Linked DNA regions of Arabidopsis thaliana. The protein of the gene in region 2 purifies or fractionates together with the protein of the main gene of each other region. This does not show direct contact. Each region holds a gene or a part of one and is shown on either strand. Other genes may lie near its edges.

Region 1 (3,753 bases), on a different chromosome or scaffold from region 2:
TGATTGTAATTCTTGTTGAATCTAAAGATTTATCGCATTGGTTTATAGGCGTGAACGCTGTGGAAATAAAGGGAGATCACAGGAACCAGATTGAGGTGACCGGTGTTGAAGTCGATATGATTGCTCTAATCAACACACTCAGGAAAAAAGTTGCATTTGCGGAGCTTGTTAGCGTAGCTAAAGTTGAACCACCTAAGGATGGTGACAAAAAGCCAGAAGAAGAAAAGAAACCCGAAGAGAAGAAACCCGAAGAGAAGAAACCTGAAGAGAAGAAACCTGAGCCATGTTGTCAACCATGGCAAAAACCTGAGCCATGTTATCAACCATGGCCTCATGATGGATATGGTGTGCCATCTTCCTATCCCTACCCGTGTGATCCCTACAATCAGATCGGGGAACCCGTTTACAATCAAGATCCCAATTGCAGGATCATGTGAGATAGGTTTCATGTGGAAGATTAACGGAGGAGATAGCAGTTTTTCTATACTAAGATTGTCAACATGTTAATGCAATTTGATAGTCAGATTTGTTAAATGAATAAAAAGTCTTGAGCTATCAGTATCACACAAATTCTCTACTTGTAGATGCTCTTATAACATGTAAAGCCAAATCTTGTTATCCATGGAATTCCATTACAAAGTAACTCCTTACTAGAGCATCAATCATACTATTTCTCAATCAAATCTTTCCTTTGCCAGAGTTGCTAGTTACATAACTCGTACATTCTCCTAAAAATTAAACTCACAAACCTTCAACATGTTCCAGAGCGCTGCTACATCTAACGACCTCTGCCGCGACCACGCCCACGGCCACGTCCGCGACCGCGTCCAACAGCTTTCCCTAAAGAAGAAAGAAAGAGAGAACGAATAAATGGACTGATAAAGAAGTCTTTTAGCTTATGAAGACGAATATTACAAACACCAAAAATGAATGAAGCAGTACCAGCAACAGGCTTCTTAGGTTTAACTCTAGGAGTGTCTTCCACAAGTAAAGTCTCGAGGTTCAAGCTATCAGGAAGAATGTAGTAGCGAATATTATTACCCCTCAAGCTAAGATGATCAAGTGTTACTGGGTTTTTCCCCTTCAGGCTCATCTTCACTGTCTTCAAGTGAGTGTTCATGCTCACATCAACACCTGCCCAAATCATCAAGCTTAAACTTCAATAAATATACCTTTATGACTACTGGCTCTAACTGTGTGTTTACTCAACCTATTCATGTGATCACAAGGACGCGATTAGGGCCAATTGAAAATAAGGGAACAGATCGCGACTTGTATAAGACCTAGCAACGGAGAAATCGAGAGAGAAGAAAAGATGAGAAGAGCTACAAAGAAACCGGAAGCTAACAATAAGAACTTACCAGTGATGGTTCCATGGACCACAGTCCCATTCTTCAGCTCGATAGACACAGTTTCATTGTTTAACTTCATCAAAAACCTACTCGATCCAATCAAAACCATATAACACAAATCAGCTCAGGCTCAATATTGGGAATGGATTCCATGCCAGGAGCTAACTAAGATTAAGAACAACATGAATTTTCTAAAGAAAAGAAGAACTGAGAACGAAACAGTACCTGACGAGCTTCATCTTTGGATGCGAAGAAAGAACAACCAAACAAAGAAATTGACGAGGAAACAGCGAAAGGTGTGAAAACCCTCAAAACCCTTCTTTCGCTGTGAGAGACCTCACGATGGAGCGGGTACAGATCCGATTCCGGTTTTGGATCCATCAGCTAAATTACAATATTGGGCCCAAAAATGTAGTAAGGCCCATAAAGTCCAATGGTGGACCAGTAGATGTTTCAACCAGAAATCTACATACAGTTGGTTCAGCAAACCGGAAATTGAACACGAAACGTTAATTTCGGAAAGGCGTAATAAAAGCGCGCGAGAGGTTGATAAACACGCGTCGAAGAATTCGCGCGTGAAGATTGAACGACTTCAGACGAGAAGACGCTTTTCAACGTTCTCTATGCGTTAAACAGTTGACTGTTGACAGATCTCCTCCGGTAGAGAGAGAGAGAGAGAGAGAGAGAGTTCTCTGAAAAAACTGCGTAAATCCTAACTCGTCAATGGCGGATTCGAGCTCCAATCAGAATCGATACACTCCTCCTAATCAAAGGTAACTTCTTCTTCTTCTTCTTCAGTGGTCTTTGATCTGCTGATTTCGAGTGTTCTTTATTCTACTGATTTCGCTACTCCGTTCTTACCTTTCGATGTTGCTTCTCCGTGTCACAGGAAGGCTTCTGGGAATCGCCGGAAGTCGGGAGGTATGTGAGCTCTCTCTCTCTCTCTCTGTCTTCTTTGCCTCAGTCGTTCTTTATTGATTCTTAATCAATTCGGTTCTTAATTCCGAGAGTATCTAGTTCTGTGGAGATTATAGCTTAGATCAAAGATTGTCGATGAATAGAAGTAATCTTGTTTTGTAGATTCAGGAATTGATTGCATGCGAATCTGTACACATTGTGTTTGTGCATAGTTGGTAACTTCAAGAACCGTTTCTAAGAAAGTGAATTATTAGGAGTTTAGCCTGAAATTCAGATCTCGCTCTCTCTTTATTAGCAAATCCGCTGGTTGATTCATTTCTCCATGTGTGTACTTGACCCATTTGTTTGCCTGTTTTCTTGAAAATAAATCGTCGTTCAAGCTATATCTGGTTTTGCTAGTATGCTATGGTTCTTGGCTAAATAAAGAGTGAAATGCAGATCGAACAAGTAGCCAACAGAACAACGATAATGAGAGAAATCAGCCTCCTGCTACTGGTCTTCAGATGGAAAACATATCCCAGACCCAGAGGATAATAACAATAAAGGACTGCTCCAGGAGTGCAGCTTATCAGCTCATGAGCCAACGTATAAATCTGAACTATCTCTTTAAACATTTAGCTGGTTTATTCTTTGCTCTGTATCACTATCTGGTCGTTCTTCTATCAACTGTTGCTATGCTAAGCATTTGTTGAGTCAGTGCTAGTTTTAGAAATCTTTGAACTTAATAGATAAGGTGTGTTGAATTCACTGCTTATGCAGTCAGTTTTATGTACTTGTCTTATTTACGTGCTCTTGATTTGTCATGAACAGGATGGGCAGCTGAAATGCATCAATACGACGACCCAACTGTGGATCTATCTGGTGAGATTAAGGGATTCTAAGTTTTCCTTTGTCCTTTGTGTCTATTATACTTGTGCTGCTTGAGTTGCCTCCAAATACAATCAGATATATCTATGTTCTTATCTGGATCTCTGTCTTCCGGTTAGTCAAGTATAACTGATTTTCAAGTTTGCCTACTTTCTCTGTTTCACAGTGCGACCAATCATGTACTATGGAGGGAGTGTTTGGGGTAAACTACCTCATCAGGTGGAACTAACTTCAAACTCTTATCATATGCTTCTAGTTTTTCTAAAGATGTGAGTACATGAATGATGAGACCCCATCTCTTGTTTTGTGTCAAAACAATTACAGATCCTGGCTGCAGCAAACAAGACATTACCTCCTCCATCGCCAACGGATTACATGACTGAAGTGCGGCGAGGATTGCTGATGCCAAAAGCCAACAATTGAATGGTTCTTGTTCAGATGATGGAGCCCATATAGACTAGTGAAATGGTGTTTGTTGAGATGGCACAAGCGGTGGTATGTCAATGACTTTTATATTGTGTGTGTGTAGGATAACAGATATTGCTTTTGTCAGGATCGGTTGTTTTCTCTGGTCCCTGAAAGTGTAAAAAACCCAAACCAGAGATTTGAGTAACAA
Region 2 (3,753 bases):
TCTCTCTATGATTTGATTTTGTGAACGGGATTCACTAACCTTGATGCCATAGTAAAATGGATTAGCTCTGTAAAGTGTGACATAAACTTTGGGGATGGATGGATATCAATCAATGTTATGGTACCAACAACGGATCTTTATTATACCATGTCCTTGTTTTGTTGAGCTGAAAAATCATGCTTCATTTTGTCTCTACGTATCCTTACATGGTTATTTATTATTGTGTACTGGTAAACTTGAGTGCAAAATATAATGTGATAGGTGGAAGGTCTGATGAGGTTGATGGAGGGAGAACATGTCGGTCCATTTAACCTTGGTAACCCCGGTGAATTCACCATGCTCGAGCTCGCTAAGGTACATTTTTCTCTTGTTGTTACATATAATCTGATCACTCAAAATCTTTGTATCTGACCCAAACGAGTGGATGGTGGGTGAGCAGGTGGTTCAAGAGACAATTGACCCGAACGCAAAGATAGAGTTCAGACCAAACACAGAGGACGACCCACACAAGAGGAAACCAGACATCACAAAGGCCAAAGAGCTTCTTGGTTGGGAACCAAAGGTGGCTCTACGCCAAGGACTCCCACTTATGGTCAAAGATTTCCGTCAACGTGTCTTTGGCGACCAAAAGCAGGATTCTTCCACCACTTCATCATCAACAGAGTAACTGTCGCTGGAGATTCTCGTTTCTCTTCGTTTTCATTTTTAATTTTGATATTTCTATTCCTGTCAATGTAGTGATATTGAAACCTCACCGATTTTAAAGTTTTATTTTTTTTAATGCAATCACCGTAGTTTTGAGCTTGGACATGCGAGCTGAACAAACAACAAACAAGGAACATGTCTTTAAAAGATCTTTAAAAGATCTTGTCAATTCGGACATAAACGAAAATGAGACGAATAACTTTAAAAGATGCTACTACCTACAAGAATTTATCAGTTTTAGCACAACAAACAAGGAACATGTCTCTAAGTCTCTCTTCCTCTCATTTTGGATTCCTGAGGACGATAATGACCGAGTCTCCACGTAGAAACATCTTGCTTATGAACCGATCTCTGTTCACCGGAAGTGCTTTCTTCTTGCCTTTCCCAGTTTTCGGAACCTAAACCAAACCAACGCCATCTCAGGCACCACAAGTTTTATATGTAGACAAAACTGATTTCAGGATAATGAATATTGGCTACCTCAGTCCACATCTCTCTGACATTTTCAAGAACCATGTTGCAGTGTCTGTCAAACGCCCTCACTCGCCCAAGAAGTTTCCTGTTGTTCCGGCAATTGATTAAAACCTGAACATAAAAAAGTTGACCTTGTTAATAACCTTTCCATTTTAACCACTCTTCGTTATACATTTCAATATTTCATTGTCTAACACCTAGCCCATGAAGGTCAAAAACATCTATCCATTTAATCAGTTTTCATATACAACATCATTATCTAACATCAGAAGCTCAATACATCTCCTAGAGATCTCTATACCTGAGTGTTATTCTTGACGCTCATCATAAGAACAGAGAGTGGCCCGGTGTTGAATTCCTCTTCCTCAGTCTTGCCCTGCTAAGGACAGTATCAAGCATGATGAATTAGAAACAACATTTAAGGAGAGAACACATCCTTAAGAGTATCATACAAGCAGGAAACTAATGGAGTTTATAACAGCAACAATCAAATGACATTACAACAAAGGGCAGAAGTGATGAAAACATCCAATTCTCTACTGCCCATTCAACGCAGAACGGAACAAAAATTCAGTGAAAATCTTTAGTGGCACAGTCCTACTCAAGTACTAGAGACAGCTAAGATTGATGAAACTGGAAACAGTAGATGAATTATGGCAAACAGCGAATCGAGAAAAGCAGTAGCGAGAGAAATTAGAAGGAAGCTTACATTGGTATCCTCTTCCATTGGCTTGCTGCGAGAAAAAATATAGAAAATCAAGAGAAACACCACAGTGTTAGACAAGTCTCAAATTGAGCACCACAAAATGCAGAAGAAACTTAGAACCATCGAGAGATATACCTCATGTTGACTTATCGCGAGCTTCTTCTCCACAAAGAATCACCGAACCTATCAAAGTAAAGGAATACGAAAGAGACTCAGGAAAGCAGAATTACAGATTTTCGCACAAGGAAAGATCGAAGAAGTTAGGGTTTTACCTTACCTGATAAATCTCGCTTTCGTTTTCCGCAGATCTCTCTCTCAGAGGAAGAAGAAGAACGACGACTCGATACTCGAAAGTACTTGGCGGACCGGCGCTACAACATAGTTAAGTTAGGCCTTTCAAATTTTGGGCCTTGTCAATTTATATGGGCTTTAATGTTTTTTTTGGGGGGCTTTAACGTTTTCCAAACGAATATAAATATTTTAGGTAGCCATAACTTATAAATTCTTTGGGCCATACATTTTCAAATTTCAAACCATGAGACCACCAATCTTTAATAATTCACACAAAATCATAACTCTCTTTTTCATAAATTGTTTTTTGTTTGCCTTGATAAAATTTTATTACACAGTGGATCGTGGAACCAAACGGCCACGGTTCAAACCACAAAGGAGATTGAAGAAGGGACGTTTAGGCCTCCTATGACCGTTACTAACGCCGTTAACAGTAGTTACCCTCTGGACGCTCGTAGTGTTACCAACTCGTATAGGAGTGACAGTGAGAGAGGCAGGGTCAGCGGTTCGAAGGTCAAGCCAATTGATGATGTCAGCAAAAACAAGGTCCACGTTACAGTCAGGCTCACCTGACGTCAGAGCGTGCCACATCCCTGGATACAACTTGAGCGTCTTGTCCCTTGTGCTAGCTTTCTCGTACAGAGCTTTGCTTACCTCTGGATCCGTCACTGTATCTGCTTCTCCGTGTAATACAAAGAATGGCATTGTTATCTGCAATATCATGTTGTCTTGGTCAGAAATAATGTCATAACACGGGATCAAGAACAATCAATAAGAGACATGAACCTCGTGGAGAGTGTCTTCTAGGTTCATGCTTGTCCTAAGCATCTCAAGTGCGGTTTTGAGCCTAGGCTTGTCTTGATATATCAGCTTGTTGTTCCTTACCTGCATTTACACACACCAAATTATTTACATATAACCAATTTCGATGGTGATCAGAGGGTTGGTATACACTATACAGACCTCTTCTCGCTTGACGAGGTCCTTGAAAGCAGCGTCAATCACGTCTTTTGTTGGAACTATTTTCCATTTAGGTATGATTTCTTCGACTCTAGTTAACAGATTAATCACTATAGGGTGTGGCTTCACCTTCTCAGATATCTGCATATTTAAACATAACAATATACTTTGCATTTCAATATTATTATCACCTACGACTCTGCAATCTAAAATTATAGTTGCAGGTTTTTTACCTTACACATTGGAGCAACTAGAATGGCGCCGTTCCAAAACAAAGGATCTTTTTTGTGAAGCAATAAAGTGACTGCGCCTCCCATGGATTCTCCATACAAGAATCTGCCTTTGTCCATGTACTCCTCTTGCGCTGGTGTCACATAAAATTAACCGGATTAACTTAAGGGGTTGAGAAAATCTCTTCTTACTGATAAACGGAGAAGAAGAGAGAGAGGAATGTTATTGTTATATATGTCAAATGAAATACCACAAATAGATGTGTAGTAGTCATAGCAATCATTCACAACATTCGCAAACTTCTTGATGTAGCAACGAGATCCCATGGACCTTCCATGACCTTCATAGTCCATACCAAAAACCGCGTATCCAGCTGAAGCCAGCCT

Evidence for each region.
Region 1: the proteins of AT2G47640 (region 2) and AT3G07590 fractionate together in Arabidopsis thaliana (co-fractionation; one large-scale study listed by BioGRID). This does not show direct contact.

The regions. Positions count from the first base shown.
Region 1 is NC_003074.8:2,420,984-2,424,736, reverse strand, and holds AT3G07590 (Small nuclear ribonucleoprotein family protein), read right to left. Parts: upstream 1,687-3,753; 5' UTR 1,592-1,686; coding exon 1,578-1,591; intron 1,439-1,577; coding exon 1,362-1,438; intron 1,284-1,361; exon of another isoform or gene 1,148-1,283; coding exon of another isoform or gene 1,135-1,147; coding exon 943-1,134; intron 841-942; coding exon 779-840; 3' UTR 750-778; downstream 1-749. Other genes in the region: AT3G07600 (Heavy metal transport/detoxification superfamily protein), read left to right, coding at 49-437; AT3G07580 (uncharacterized protein), read left to right, coding at 2,076-2,125, 2,242-2,273, 2,709-2,855, 3,081-3,131, 3,304-3,356, 3,462-3,560. UniProt on the Arabidopsis thaliana protein: Involved in splicing regulation.
Region 2 is NC_003071.7:19,535,665-19,539,417, reverse strand, and holds AT2G47640 (Small nuclear ribonucleoprotein family protein), read right to left. Parts: upstream 2,245-3,753; 5' UTR 2,163-2,244; exon of another isoform or gene 2,158-2,162; intron 2,069-2,157; 5' UTR 2,026-2,068; coding exon 2,021-2,025; intron 1,914-2,020; coding exon 1,889-1,913; intron 1,559-1,888; coding exon 1,481-1,558; intron 1,291-1,480; coding exon 1,186-1,290; intron 1,104-1,185; coding exon 987-1,103; 3' UTR 668-986; downstream 1-667. Other genes in the region: UXS4 (UDP-xylose synthase 4), read left to right, coding at 262-354, 422-667; AT2G47630 (alpha/beta-Hydrolases superfamily protein), read right to left, coding at 2,507-2,887, 2,963-3,061, 3,140-3,277, 3,370-3,500, 3,618-3,753.